Drosophila melanogaster: one gene and its partner. The protein of the gene in region 1 interacts with the protein of each later gene in a pairwise test. Each region holds a gene or a part of one and is shown on either strand. Other genes may lie near its edges.

Region 1 (7,529 bases):
TATCTGACTCACTAGCATTGGGCAGCATTTTGTAGTTTTACACACGCAGAAAAGATTTACTCATACAAAGCCGCGTTTTGTAAATGATTTCAACTGTTGTGAATTCTGAATATCCTGACTATTTATTGAACAGGCAACAAGTCAAGCCTTGATTGATTATATCAAATCGTAGGTCATGGCTTCTAATCTGGTGCAGAGCCATAAGTTTGCCACTCGAAGAAAAATTCAAGGATTCCGGAAACTAATCAAATACCAAATGTTTGTTAACAGGATATGAAAAAATAATGTTTTCCCTAGCATAACCAGTTTTAAAAGATTTTTTTCAGTCCGTTAAATGTATGCAAAGAAAACTGTATTGTATTCAAACCATTCATCTTTAGTTTCCCTCACAAGTTCATTCCTTTTTCTTCGTGTGTATAGCAGCATTGTTATTTGACCTAATCTGTGTCTTTGCCCCATTGTTTTGCCGCGTTTTGATTTGTGCCCCCAATAAGTCCATCTGGAGTCAATGTGCTACCAAACGATAGGGAAGTTCGAGCTTCGAAGGATGCGTGGTGGTAGGTAGGGCGATCTAATCGCGGAGCTCTTCTCCTTTATGGATCAGCAAACATTTGGGCGTTGTCACACTCGCGAATGCGGAATTCCGACACCATTTCTTTGATTGATAAACAAATTGCCCGCTGCTTGTTTACTTTACTGCCAGCGCAGATTTCTCACGAGTTAACCAACCATTAAACGAGAACTCACAAACTCAAGGACTCAGCAGGGGGAATCATCCTGGAATCACTTTGCCATCATCTCAAATCCGGTTACGTGTTTCGTTTGGCTGGCATGGGATTATGCGGTGGATTTAATTGTTTAAAAACAATCGAAAGCACTGGGGCACGTTGAGATTTGAATTGCCGTGCACAACTGCGGGTGGTTAGATGGGTCAATGGCAACGCATGCCCAGACCCCCAAATAATTGTGAACAAATGTGTCTTCAGTTGGCGTTGGTGGAGGAGCGCACCATTGCAAGCGACGCTGAAAAAGGCGATGATGTCCTGACACACTTCGAATTGCCAGAGTCCTTTTGCCAAAAAAAAAAAAAAAAAAAAAATTCCAAATTCCTTCGCATGCCAATGGAGCGGCATGGACAGAGAAGGGATGACGAGATGGAGAGACGGTGAGACGTCGAGATGGAGAGAGGATATCCAGATATGCATTGGAATACAAAGTGTGGGATAAAAGCATTTCTGTATCGCTATTATTCATTGGTCATGCGCAGTCAGCCGCGCCTCATTTCCGCTCGAGAGTCGGGAGTTGGACCATATTCGCAATAATAGTAAGTATGTTGGGCATGTGGTGTGTGTTTTGGACCAAGTATACATTTTCCCCTCCCCCGTATAATTACGGCCATAAAGCAATCCAACTATCCAGCTAGCCAAACTATTTCAGTTCCATCTGCCAGAGTTTGGAATCCTTGAGGCCATGTACATATACCGAAATATACTATATATATATATATATATGCATGGGATGTGTAGCGATTTTTGATAGATATAAAATACATAAACGTAATTGCGGTACTCACCAATGGAAATTCGGGAAATTCGAAAAAAATCAAAACCAGAATCCATTGAAACAGTAGTTGGAGAGTAGTTATGAATTATTTGTTATCCGTTTTGCGTTTAAGTTTGCTTTTAAGTTTACATTGTACTGCTTTATGAACACACTCAGTTTGTTATTTTGGCCAAACAGTAAAAAAAATATGCAAAAAATTTTCATAAAATATGTATTTTATGATCTTTTCATCCTTACGCCATCAGCATATACATATACACGCATATATGTGCACATATATAGACATATATATATATTTATTCTATTTTTGTATTTTCCATATTTGATTTGAATGTGCTGATTTAGTAGCCGATTTTAGAGCTGCGTTGCGTTGCGTTTCGTTACGTTACTATATCAAACATTTGATTCTGAGTAGTTATTTGTTGGGTTTTCACATTTTGCCCACCCGTTCGGCATTTCGTTTTTCCTCTTTTCTTTTACTTTTTTCCATATATATATATATATACATATATATATACGCGTATGTATATATATATATTCTAAGTTCACGGTGTGTTGGGATTTGAAAACGAATTTCTTTGTTAATATATATATATATATATATATATATGTATATACTTTTGCCTGGGCTGGTTGTTCAGTTGTGTTTCTGGGGTATTTGTTGGATCTTTTTGGGCGCCGACTCGGGGATTATTCCTCAATAAACTATTGCTCCGCTGGCTGCGAACTATACGGCTATTTCCTGCATCTGCACTCTTTTCTGCTGCTTTCGTATTTCGTTTTGTTTGTTTGTTTGTTTTTTTTTTTTTTTGGTTTTTGTATGTTTTTTGTGTTTTTTGTATTAATTTATTTTATTTTTTTATTGCTGCTGCTGCTTCTTCTATTAAAAACTATCGCCGTGTCTCGTGCCTCGCTAACCGCTTTCCGCAATTGCAAACAACGTTCTAAAGCTCTCGAACACGTCTGCAGGATTTTGGCCAGGCGAAAAACGATTGCCTCCAACCGGAGGCAAACCAGGCAGCCAACCCAGTCGACCAGCCATTCTTCAGTCAGCCAAATACGACGCAGTCGCAGAGCACCGGAATCTCAACTGGGAGATTCCCAATCCCGGCCATCCCATCCCATACCAATATATCTCAAACCAAGCCCAGCCGAGTGGCCACATCTCTCGCTCTCCGCTTCTATTGTCACGTCACAATTCAGCATCTTGGCTCTCTCGGGCTGTGTGGGCCACATCCTTTTGGTCCTCGGATGGATGTTGGTTGGTGTTCGGCACTCAGCCGCTGGCTCTCTCGCCGAAAGTCGGTAAAAAAAAAATCCACTCCTTGGCCCCAACGAGTCTTACAATCCGGGTACGTCTGTTTATGTCCGTTATGTGGAGCAAAAGGGTATATTGTATTCGTGCAAAGGTGCGTAATTGTAAAAGGAAGTGTAGTATACACCTACGCCTCTACATACGTTTCCATCTAGCCGTGTCTGTCTGTCTCTCTGTATCTCTGTCTGGCTGCCTGTCTATCTGGCCGTCGAGATCTTGGCCAGAACAATGGACAGAGAACTGGGTCCACACTGTTCCACGCCACAGATTGGCCACGCCCCCGTCGTCTAATTGAATGAAGCTATATCCTTCTTACGCCCAGCTAGCAGTGACCTGATTTAAATTAACTGGTTTCGAAATGAAGTTTGGGCGAATGAAAGCCTAAAAATAAATACAGACCGCATTGTTAGCCAACATACATAAATGGAAAATCATGGAAAATTACAATGAAATAATATGTATAAGAAATTGAAAAAAAAATATATATATATCTAAAAGTGTTACGGATTTCAGGCGCAGGTTGCATGTTTATACTTTTAGTTTTGCTTTTTAATTTGAATATATTAAATTGAAAACAAAATTGAAATATGTGCACCTGTTTACCTGTTTATTTTTCGAGAGCAAAACGCACTTTGTTCTTCAAAATAAAGCAAAATTAAAATACACACAAGTAGTATAGTTTAATGGATTTCACAGGCACACACCTCCTTGGAAAATGCGTTTGATCAAAATTTCATATTCGGCACTTAATGAGGTGGTAAGTATATGCCTTGTGTGCAAACGCTTTCTAAAATATTTACTGTGCAATTAGGGTAAATGATTAAAAAAGTGGTAATTTTAGGGCGCAGTTGGTAAGCTATAAATGAAAGAAATGCCTTAAGATGTACCTAGTGCTGTGGCATTTATCAGATAGTCATGTTCTATTCGTATCCCTACAAAGCACTTAGCTTTCCCATTCAGTGCGTTTGGCTGAAACTGAATGGTTCTTGGCCATTAACCGAATCATCGAGGCCATGGAGGAGCCAATCCTTATTGGCCACCGCCTACATCGTGTGGGCGTGGTACGTCATTGCATCTGTGGGCATAACAATCAGCTATCAGACGGCCTTTTTGCTGAACAACCTTTCGGACATTATTATCACCACGGAAAATTGTTGCACCACCTTTATGGGTGTCCTGAACTTTGTCCGACTCATCCATCTTCGCCTCAATCAGAGGAAATTCCGCCAGCTTATTGAGAACTTTTCCTACGAAATTTGGATACCTAAGTGAGTCGATTCATTAGGGTTATTATAAGCGATGTTAAATGATCATCGCATTAAACTGCAGAGCATTGAAAACTATAGAGGTTTGCAATCTTACTTGAGTAAATGCGCAGAAAAGTGTGCTACATTGTTGTGTGCAAAAGAGCAAACTTTGCTTTCTAAGCATGCTTTTGGACACTTAAAGTGGTTTTGAGATAATATAGACTTTTGAGTAACTATACCCATCTTCAAACTGTATTTGTAAGAAAATCTTTATTTACATATATAAATATATGATGGGTTCCAGTTCTTCCAAAAACAATGTTGCCGCCGAGTGTCGCAGACGCATGGTTACCTTCAGCATAATGACATCCTTGCTAGCGTGCCTGATCATAATGTATTGTGTCCTGCCGCTGGTGGAGATCTTCTTTGGACCCGCCTTCGATGCACAGAACAAGCCGTTTCCCTACAAGATGATCTTTCCGTACGATGCCCAGAGCAGTTGGATCCGATATGTGATGACCTACATCTTCACCTCCTACGCGGGAATCTGTGTGGTCACCACCTTGTTTGCAGAGGACACCATTCTTGGCTTCTTCATAACCTACACTTGTGGCCAATTTCATTTGCTACACCAACGAATCGCAGGTTTATTTGCGGGTTCCAATGCGGAATTGGCCGAGAGCATTCAGCTGGAGCGACTCAAACGTATTGTGGAAAAACACAACAATATTATCAGGTTGGTATCGTGCCAATATTCAATTACAATGATTCTATTACAATGATCCTATTACAATGATTCTATTACAATGATTCTATTACAACGATTATATTACAAATATTCTATCACAACGATACTATTACAATGATTCTATTACAATGATTCTATTACAACGATACTGTTACAATGATTCTTTTACAACGATTCTATTACAATGATTCTATTACAATAATTCTATTACAACGATTTTATTACAATAATTCTATTACAACGATTTTATTACAATGATTCATTTCAATGATTCTTTTACAACGATTTTATTACAATGATTCTATTACAATGATTCATTACAATGATTCTATTACAACGATTCTATTACAATGATTCTATTACAACGATTTTATTACAATGATTCATTTCAATGATTCTATTACAACGATTTTATTACAATGATTTTATTACAATGATTTTATTACAACGATTCTATTACAACGATTCTATTACAATGATTCTATTACAACGACTCTATTACAATGATTCCATTACATGTTACTTTGATTTTGCCAATAGTTTTGCTAAGCGCCTCGAGGACTTTTTCAACCCAATTCTACTGGCCAATCTAATGATTTCCTCCGTACTTATTTGCATGGTTGGCTTTCAAATAGTTACTGTAAGCATTGGCAGTAAATATTTTAATATAATGACTAGCTTTTCTTTCTAAACTTCATAAGGGAAAAAATATGTTCATTGGAGACTATGTGAAGTTCATAATTTACATATCCTCGGCCCTTTCACAATTATACGTTCTTTGCGAGAATGGCGACGCATTGATAAAACAGGCAAGAATGTAGATTGTTTTTTTTTTTAATATATTAATAAACTATTTCCGATAAACAGTCTACCTTAACAGCGCAAATTCTGTATGAATGCCAGTGGGAAGGATCCGATCGCATTGAGATACAATCGTTCACGCCAACAACCAAGCGAATCCGAAACCAGATTTGGTTTATGATCCTCTGCAGTCAACAGCCTGTAAGGATTACGGCTTTCAAGTTCTCAACGTTGTCCTTGCAGAGTTTTACGGCCGTATGTCTACAAAAAAAAAATATATATATATATATATATATCAATTGCACAATTAAACTCATCTCTTTCAGATTCTAAGTACCTCGATAAGTTACTTTACATTATTGCGGTCAGTTTACTTCGACGACGAAAAGAAACTAGATTAAATAAAAACGTGGAGCTCTGTTTAAGGTTATGTTGCTTTCTGCTGATTTTCAAAATTCGAAACTTTGACAAATTTTGAAGCTGGGATTGGAGCTCCTAGAGGTTATCCCTCTCCTTGCACAGCCAGCGCTCCTAGTTGGCCATGATTTAATGCCCTAAATCTGGTTCGTTTTTCATTCGGTACCTTTCAGTCAGTACGGAACAAATATTCATACAATCTTTTCGAGATCTTTTATAAGTTTTGTAAATTCATTTGTACTAACTTACATCATTTCGCCATGCCTTCCGTCGAGTGGGTCTGTGGTTTGCTCTACTACGTTATGCGCACCTACATAAAGGTATTCGTATCCAGTTGCGAAGCACACTTCCCTATCGATATCCTTGACAAGGTGAGTGAGAAATGGATGGAGCAGCATGTGATGGACTCAATACACTATCCCAAACTTGCAGATTGTGTATTTGATAGATTTCGCCGAAGTTTCCATGAAGATAATGCGCCGGCCAAGAAATTACACGAATCCGACTGAGCGCCAAGCGAGACGCCTTCAATTCTACAATTTCCTTTTAAAGTTAAGATTTTTGGCACAGGTGATCTACACCTTGGTAGCCGTGGTAATTGGGACACTTAAAACATAAAAATTTATTTAATATGTTCCAAAAAATTCTATACATACTCATTGAAATATTTTTTTTTTTTTTTTTTTTTGACCATTCTAAGCTTTCTGTAATCCATGTAAAATAGCGTACAAAACGGGACAGGGCTGCGACCCGCGCTGATTGTTTGGACTGCGATGTGCTGTATTACTTGGCTGCCGTGGCTCCTTGAGGGACTGATCAACTATTTGTTTAAATGATGGACGCCATGGCGTTAGACATATATTTTTCAAAATTTTCCCTAACATGTAGCTATTCCTGAAATGTAGCAAATAAAGCACTGTTCTGCTTCGTACATTCTCAATTCTTCACGATGAAGGTGTGTGAACTTTTTGCGACGACTGTATACTCTCTTCAGCATTCTAACTCGATTTCGTGCATTTATTTTGCAAAAAATGCCAAAATTTGGCCAAAAATTAATTTCACAAAGCCTGTCAAAAAGTGATATGGGTTCTTAGTATTGGTAATTCGTATTAAAAAATAACTGTACTTCTTTTGGCCATTATAGCCATTTTTAGTCAAGTTATAACCAAAAAACCCATCTTAAATATTGCATTTTTTGCCAAAAATCAAAAATGGGCTAAAAATTTAAATTTTCAAAATTTATTAAAAAGAGATACAGAGCTGCACAAAAACTTAATTCAATTTGACTAAAAACTGCTAAAAACGATATACAATTTATTTGATTCTTAAGAATTCGCGACTATTCCCAAAAGTAGATTTAAAAGGCCAGGCAAATATTTTCTTATTTTTAATGAATTTCTCAGACAAACATAAGATCACAAATAGTAACTATTAATAT
Region 2 (8,491 bases), on another chromosome or scaffold:
TCCCATGGCGCCATGATGAAGTCCTATATGAACTTCAGCGTCGATCCGTGCGACGACTTCTACGAGTTCGCGTGCGGCAACTGGAAGAACGTGAAAACGCCGCGGCAATCGCCCCATAGGCGGAGCAATATTCTGGACATCAGCTACACACTGATGGACGTGACGGAGCAGCTGCTGACCAGGACAAAGTTGGCGGAGGCACTGAACGTGTCCGCCGAGCTGCTCGTTGCACAACGCTTCTACAATTCCTGCCTGGCGGCCGAGCTCTTTCCGCGGCCCGCTGCCGATCCCGCTTATCTATCGGTTATCAGGTCGCTGGGTGGTTTTCCCGCCGTCGACAGAGACGCCTGGAACGCCTCCAGCTTCAGTTGGTTCAACATGAGCGCCCATCTCAGCAACTACGGCGTTCGCAGTTTGATCCACGAAGAAATTCTGCCGCAGCATCCCTTCAATCCGTACTTCAAGCTACCCGAACTGGGCTTTGACCATGTCGTCCACACCGCTCACGTTGCCAATACGAGCTCGCGGGCCTACCAGCTCAACGAGCATCGCATGCGTGGCTACCTGAAGGAATACAATCTCACGAAGGATGAAATCTCTGCCGTGATCGAAGGCGTCTTTGCTTTTTGGAGCGAGGCGCTCAGTATTGAGGATAAGTTCGAGAGCGATAGGGATAAGTGCGATTTGCTCAGTGAGATTGAGGAGGTGCCGCGATTTGGTCAGTGGAGGAGCTACTACGAGATAGCCTGGAATGGTATAGACTTTTACAACGGCTCGTCCGGTGGCGAATTCTGCGACTTTTACTATGTGGAGCTCGACAAGGTGTGCGCCAAGCATACGGAGGCGGTGGCCAATTATCTAGCCATGCGGTTTCTCTACCGCATGGACGACAAGCTGAAGGAGCCCAAGCAGCCGGAGGACCAAAAGGTTAACTGCTTGATGATCGTCCAGATGACGCTGCCAAATCTGTTCAACAGGCTCTACATGGCGGTGAGTTGGATGCTGTGAATATGTGAAGCTTAGCTTTTCAATTGATATCAACTAACTTTCATAGGAGCACTTCACCGACGAGAAGCACTCGGAGATCTCTGACATGGTGACCGAAATGCGAAAGGCCCAGCGACAGATCCTCGAGAGTGTGGAGTGGTTGGACGCGGAGACGCGAGCAGAGGCTCTGAGCAAGGAGGCCGGCATCACGCCAGTAATCGGCAGTTACAAAAACGAAGAGCTGTCGGACACTCTAATCCGCGAGATCAACAATCTGACCATTGTTGAAGGCAGCTATGCCCAGAGTTTGATCAATCTGCGAGTATTGGGCACCTATCTTCATCGCTACGCTGGCTTACATGCGGACGAGCTGCCCAAGGACACAAAGCCACTGACACTGCTCGTGGGAATGCAGGTGAACGCCTTCTACTACAATCTGGATAACTCGGTGTACGTGATGGCGGGAGTACTGCATCCGCCTGCGTACCACCGTTCATGGCCCGATTCCTTGAAGTTCGGCACCATTGGCTATCTGATAGGTCACGAGTTGACCCACGGCTTCGATACGGAGGGCTCCAGTTTCGACAGCGCCGGCGAAGTACGCGACTGGTGGTCCAGGAAGTCGGAGGCGGTATTCCAGGAACGGGCGCAGTGCTATGTGGATTACTTCAACCAATACTTGATACCGGAAATCAACCAGACAATTCGCGGCAATGAGACAAGGGACGAGAACATAGCGGACGCCGGTGGCTTGAGGGCCGCACTCACCGGCTATCGAAACCACATGAAGCAGCTGCAACGAAGTGGAGCGGATGGGGAGACGTTGGCTCACAAAAACGAGCAGATGCCCGGCCTCGACCTGTCGCCGGAGCAGCTCTTCTTCGTGGGATTCGCGCAGCTGTGGTGCGCCGACTACGAGCCGGAGCACTACTGGGAGGAGCTCACTGGCGCACATACCGTCGATAAGTATCGGGTGCTGGGTGCCGTTTCCAACAACGACGATTTTGCTGAGGTCTACAAGTGCCCACTGGGCAGTCCAATGCATCCGAAGGCTGAGAGTTGTCGGATGTGGTGACCATAAGTCGTATATAAAGGAAAAGATGTAAAATACTCTAGATGTTCAACTACAAAATAAATGAAAACAGGAAAAATAATGCAAATCGACGATATAGTCTTACACATTTCTGCAATTGAGTTAACTCACTCGACTTTACCCATTTACTCTTAATAGTCTCTTTATTTCTAATTGGTTTTAATGAGCAACGTGCTCTGAGGATTTGAAGGCGTTGGGTCCCCGGTAATTCTCGACCAGCAGGGATTTGTAGCGCCTCAGGTGGACGCTGAGTCCTTCCTCGCGCTCGCTGACGGAGAGGATTGAGACGCGGGCCACGACCAGATGGGAAGGATTCGATTGACTAAAGCCTCGGATTACGTCGATTTCATCGCCGACTTCCAGCTGTAAATGGTAAATCATAAGATTGAATTCGATCTATATATGGACTCCATACCTGGGCACTCTTTTTGGGCAGCTTCTTTCCATTGACGCGTATCTTGCTCTCGTAGAAATTCAGTTCCACTTTGCTGTGGGAGGTAAGACATCATGGTTATTGGGGGCATTTAGAAAACCTTCGGCTGTTTCTTACTTTCTCGCCATGCCCAGGCCAGCTTTCAGTAGGAGATCGGCGCGCAGTGAGTTCACCTTGGTCTTGACCACCTTGGAGTCCCTTTCGTCCTTGAAATCCTCATCATCCTCGTCGTCGCTGTCCAAGTCATCCGATGCTCGTGAGGATTTCTTGTCGTACTTCCACGCTGAAGCACTGGTGTGTACAGGAGCCTGCAGCTCTAAGGTGGTTGAGAGTTTAGGCAGACTTTTAGATGGAAATGGCGTCCTTAGGGATCTTCCTAGTCGGGCTATTTGACGAAAAGTCCGGAGCATTTTGTGTGGGCGCCTTAACAATTACGATAACAAACTGAATAACATAACCTAAAAACTACAGCTGTTGCGGTGGCGTTGCCAACCATCTCTAGGACTTGTTTGCCTTTTTGTTTCGTTTCTTTTTGGGTTTCTTGTCGGGATTAGGACGCACTTGGTAGACAGTAAGGGGGCGATAGTTGTGCAGATCTGCGGGCAGGAAATCATCATCATCATGTGGCTCCACCTCCATGGGCTCTGGGCTGGGGGACTTCTCTTTTTTAACAGGGTTATTTTTGACTTCTACTACCGGCTTTTTACTTTTGGCTTTCATTGCCAAATTACTGAGGGCATTGCCCAGTTTTTGGGTCTCCACCTGGACATCCACGCGGTCCAACTTTACTGAGGGTTCGTCCGAGAAGCAGGATATGAAATCATCACCCCAATCCTTCTTTTCAGCCACTGGGAGCTGCGGTTTTTTTTCCTCTTCGGCTGGTTTGATTATTTCGGGTTTCTTCTTGGGTTTTTTGTGCGTTTTCGGGGCTATCTTCTTAGCAGGTGTAGGTGTTCTCTTTCGGGCAGTAATCCACTGTTCCAAGTCCTCGCTTATTGCTTTCAAATCTAATGGCAAGGCCAAGGAAAGCGCTCTAACGCCAAAGATTTCCTGGGTAAGCTCCTCCAGTTTGGGCTGCGCGTAAATGGGAGCCGTGGGCATCTTGACAGATGCACTGGTGGCCATTAGACGGACGAGGTGAGTTGGTCGCAGGCTCAAGGAAACCAATAGGCAGGAGAAACGCCGCGAGTTTATGGCGCGTAGGGAGCTCTCCAGGCCGAGATGTATTCCGTATCGAGTGGCAAACGATTTGGTCTGCCCGTCGCTGCTTTTAATTGCATTCTGAAGGATCTGACGGAACTGCTGCACTTCCTCCTCCGATAAAAGAGGGCTAAAGTCAAAAGAAACAACCTGTTGATTGGGTTTTTATTGGTTTCTGCCCGCCTCACCTGTGCTGTTTGTAAGGATTGGCTAGAATATTGCGCAGTTTGGGCAGCAATTTCTTTTTGCCCTTAGCTTCTTTCTGTTTTATGCTGGACAAACTCATGTTTACGATATAAACTAATAAAAAATAAAAAATTTCTGCTGAAAAATCAAACAACAATGTGTTTGGCTTTTGGCCAGTGTGACCGCGTTTCTTAGTTTAAAATAAGCCATAGCTTAAATCGCGTTGCCAATTGCTTTACGTTTTTATTTAAATTAAAACTCTTAATTTTTGCTTCTAAAAATTTTTAATCAAACTCTTAATTTTTATTTGCAATCATTTTCAGTACCAGTAAAGTTCCGGCTCCGTGTCCGAAGAGTACTTCAATTTTCTCGGTCTCTGGCGAACGTAATCTTCGACGAAATTCAATTGCCTTGGTGTTGTGGTTTCTACTTGAGTTTCTACTATTTCCGTTGTTGTTAAATTAAATCCAAATGGTGTTGATAATGTAGAACTTTCCTCTTCGGTGCTGTCAATCACTGCATCCAGATACGACGTGGTAGTTTCCACGCCCGGAGTCGTGGCAATGATTTCCAGCAAGGATGTAGTAGATTCCTGGGTTTCTGTGGTTGAAAACAATTCTTCTGTTGAAGTTTCTGCTGTTTCAGTTGTAGTTTGATCTGTGGATAATGCAAACGTGGATTCGTTCGGTTCTGTGGTAGAATCAGCAGATTCAGTCGTTGATTCCGGCAATTCTGTAGTGCTTGGATTGATTTCTATTTCTGTGGTAGTTTTTATTAGTTCTTTCTCTGAAAATTCAGAACTTAAAGTAGTCGTTGATTCCGGAAATTCCGTAGTACTTGGCATAAACTCTGTTGTTGTTGATTCCTGCAATCCTGTAGAGCTCTGAATGGTTTCTGTAGTAGTTTCTTGCCATCCTGTAGATAAATCTGGATAAATTAACGTTGATTCAGCATATTCAGTACTGTCTGAATTGCTTTCTGTCGTTGAATCTGCAGCTTCTGGACTCGAAGTTGTTGTGGAATATAGGGCTACTGATTCAGTGGCATCTATAGCATCTGTGCTGGTGACTTCCGGCCAAGCTGTTGTCGTGGAATATAAAGTATCCGTGGTTGAAGTTACATAACTAGATTCGGTGGTTGAATAATCCACCGCCGTAGTTGTAGATTCCTCAGTGGCACTTTTCTCCGTTGTAGTAGATACTTCCCCAGTGAAGTAGCCAGTAGTCTCCTGCGGATTGGTGGCCACCGTAGTTGTGTCCCAAAAATCTCCATCGAACGGATTGGTAAAATTTACGATGCGCGGCTTGTAGGGTGTGTAGATTTTGGCTTTGTAAGGCTTGTGGTTCTTGATGTATTCCTTGGCTATGCTAATCCACTCCTCGCGACCGAGAATATCGTTTAAATTTCGGCTTGAGGCCACAAAATGCGCCATTAAAAGAAGCAAACAGAATTTTCTCATTATGATGCTGATACCTTCGGTTGACACTTTCGACTAATTACCTTTGGCGACTGCAGTGCAATATAAACGCAAGGGTCTACCTACGTTTCAACGCGTATTTTAGCTACCTGCTTTCTTGGCAAAAACGTTAATTAGCCCTAATGAACTGGAAAATTCAAATGTTGCCGCCAGGGCTGCAAGCGCTTACTTTATTTGTGCTGGCAATGCCGTAGGTAATGCCGGCCGCTTAACAGCTGAGTGTTTTTCGGGGAAGAAGAAGAACAGCGTGTTTGCAGTCCGCGTTTTTGTGTAAAAATTGTGAATAATTATATTATTTGCAGTTTTCTTACGTTTTAAAGAAGAATTTAGCAATCAGAAGGTCCTGTAACAATTGGTAAGTCGGTAAAAACAACAAAAAACAAGAGTAGCATAAGTTTCGAGTCACCGTGAAAGTTTTAAATTTTCTAAGACGCCACCGGCAAATTTTGAATGAAAGTATTGATATATATATTTATTTTAGGAAAAACCATGGATTCCGATTTGTACGATGAGTTTGGCAACTATATTGGCCCCGATTTAGACAGCGACGAGGAAGATGAGCAAAGTATTTATGGGCAACCCGATGTGCAGGATGACCCAGAGGTATAAACGTGCAAAAAATAAAATAAAACTTATAATTAATTTATGGTGTTTCATTTAAAGGACGCCATGGACGAGGACGAGGTGGAGCCACAGGAGGACGAGGACAAGGAGGTGACCGCCGTGGTTTTGCACGAGGACAAACGCTACTATCCGTCAGCAGTTGAGGTCTACGGCCCGGATGTGGAGACCATTGTCCAGGAGGAGGACGCCCAGCCGCTGGACAAGCCGCTTATAGAGCCAGTGAAGAAGCTCAAGTTCCAGATCAAGGAGCACGTGGGCATCTTGACAGATGCACTGGTGGCCATTAGACGGACGAGGTGAGTTGGTCGCAGGCTCAAGGAAACCAATAGGCAGGAGAAACGCCGCGAGTTTATGGCGCGTAGGGAGCTCTCCAGGCCGAGATGTATTCCGTATCGAGTGGCAAACGATTTGGTCTGCCCGTCGCTGCTTTTAATTGCATTCTGAAGGATCTGACGGAACTGCTGCACTTCCTCCTCCGATAAAAGAGGGCTAAAGTCAAAAGAAACAACCTGTTGATTGGGTTTTTATTGGTTTCTGCCCGCCTCACCTGTGCTGTTTGTAAGGATTGGCTAGAATATTGCGCAGTTTGGGCAGCAATTTCTTTTTGCCCTTAGCTTCTTTCTGTTTTATGCTGGACAAACTCATGTTTACGATATAAACTAATAAAAAATAAAAAATTTCTGCTGAAAAATCAAACAACAATGTGTTTGGCTTTTGGCCAGTGTGACCGCGTTTCTTAGTTTAAAATAAGCCATAGCTTAAATCGCGTTGCCAATTGCTTTACGTTTTTATTTAAATTAAAACTCTTAATTTTTGCTTCTAAAAATTTTTAATCAAACTCTTAATTTTTATTTGCAATCATTTTCAGTACCAGTAAAGTTCCGGCTCCGTGTCCGAAGAGTACTTCAATTTTCTCGGTCTCTGGCGAACGTAATCTTCGACGAAATTCAATTGCCTTGGTGTTGTGGTTTCTACTTGAGTTTCTACTATTTCCGTTGTTGTTAAATTAAATCCAAATGGTGTTGATAATGTAGAACTTTCCTCTTCGGTGCTGTCAATCACTGCATCCAGATACGACGTGGTAGTTTCCACGCCCGGAGTCGTGGCAATGATTTCCAGCAAGGATGTAGTAGATTCCTGGGTTTCTGTGGTTGAAAACAATTCTTCTGTTGAAGTTTCTGCTGTTTCAGTTGTAGTTTGATCTGTGGATAATGCAAACGTGGATTCGTTCGGTTCTGTGGTAGAATCAGCAGATTCAGTCGTTGATTCCGGCAATTCTGTAGTGCTTGGATTGATTTCTATTTCTGTGGTAGTTTTTATTAGTTCTTTCTCTGAAAATTCAGAACTTAAAGTAGTCGTTGATTCCGGAAATTCCGTAGTACTTGGCATAAACTCTGTTGTTGTTGATTCCTGCAATCCTGTAGAGCTCTGAATGGTTTCTGTAGTAGTTTCTTGCCATCCTGTAGATAAATCTGGATAAATTAACGTTGATTCAGCATATTCAGTACTGTCTGAATTGCTTTCTGTCGTTGAATCTGCAGCTTCTGGACTCGAAGTTGTTGTGGAATATAGGGCTACTGATTCAGTGGCATCTATAGCATCTGTGCTGGTGACTTCCGGCCAAGCTGTTGTCGTGGAATATAAAGTATCCGTGGTTGAAGTTACATAACTAGATTCGGTGGTTGAATAATCCACCGCCGTAGTTGTAGATTCCTCAGTGGCACTTTTCTCCGTTGTAGTAGATACTTCCCCAGTGAAGTAGCCAGTAGTCTCCTGCGGATTGGTGGCCACCGTAGTTGTGTCCCAAAAATCTCCATCGAACGGATTGGTAAAATTTACGATGCGCGGCTTGTAGGGTGTGTAGATTTTGGCTTTGTAAGGCTTGTGGTTCTTGATGTATTCCTTGGCTATGCTAATCCACTCCTCGCGACCGAGAATATCGTTTAAATTTCGGCTTGAGGCCACAAAATGCGCCATTAAAAGAAGCAAACAGAATTTTCTCATTATGATGCTGATACCTTCGGTTGACACTTTCGACTAATTACCTTTGGCGACTGCAGTGCAATATAAACGCAAGGGTCTACCTACGTTTCAACGCGTATTTTAGCTACCTGCTTTCTTGGCAAAAACGTTAATTAGCCCTAATGAACTGGAAAATTCAAATGTTGCCGCCAGGGCTGCAAGCGCTTACTTTATTTGTGCTGGCAATGCCGTAGGTAATGCCGGCCGCTTAACAGCTGAGTGTTTTTCGGGGAAGAAGAAGAACAGCGTGTTTGCAGTCCGCGTTTTTGTGTAAAAATTGTGAATAATTATATTATTTGCAGTTTTCTTACGTTTTAAAGAAGAATTTAGCAATCAGAAGGTCCTGTAACAATTGGTAAGTCGGTAAAAACAACAAAAAACAAGAGTAGCATAAGTTTCGAGTCACCGTGAAAGTTTTAAATTTTCTAAGACGCCACCGGCAAATTTTGAATGAAAGTATTGATATATA

The links.
Region 2: the proteins of CG42766 (region 1) and CG4884 interact in a two-hybrid assay, tested with the Drosophila melanogaster proteins (one large-scale study listed by BioGRID).

What each region holds. Positions count from the first base shown.
Region 1 is NC_004354.4:15,970,632-15,978,160, forward strand, and holds CG42766 (uncharacterized protein), read left to right. Parts: upstream 1-6,236; 5' UTR 6,237-6,351; coding exon 6,352-6,462; intron 6,463-6,523; coding exon 6,524-6,709; 3' UTR 6,710-6,791; coding exon of another isoform or gene 6,792-6,815; 3' UTR 6,816-7,029; downstream 7,030-7,529. Other genes in the region: Or13a (odorant receptor 13a), read left to right, coding at 3,794-4,146, 4,430-4,861, 5,414-5,513, 5,575-5,682, 5,741-5,929, 6,001-6,075.
Region 2 is NT_033777.3:27,955,177-27,963,667, forward strand, and holds CG4884 (uncharacterized protein), read right to left. Parts: upstream 4,070-8,491; 5' UTR 4,000-4,069; coding exon of another isoform or gene 3,902-3,999; intron 3,844-3,901; coding exon of another isoform or gene 3,012-3,843; 5' UTR 2,924-3,011; coding exon 2,631-2,923; intron 2,569-2,630; coding exon 2,496-2,568; intron 2,444-2,495; coding exon 2,240-2,443; 3' UTR 2,180-2,239; downstream 1-2,179. Other genes in the region: Nep7 (neprilysin 7), read left to right, coding at 1-990, 1,055-2,062; CG42487 (uncharacterized protein), read right to left, coding at 3,012-3,843, 3,902-3,999; CG31253 (uncharacterized protein), read right to left, coding at 4,219-5,358; CG31131 (uncharacterized protein), read right to left, coding at 6,865-8,004.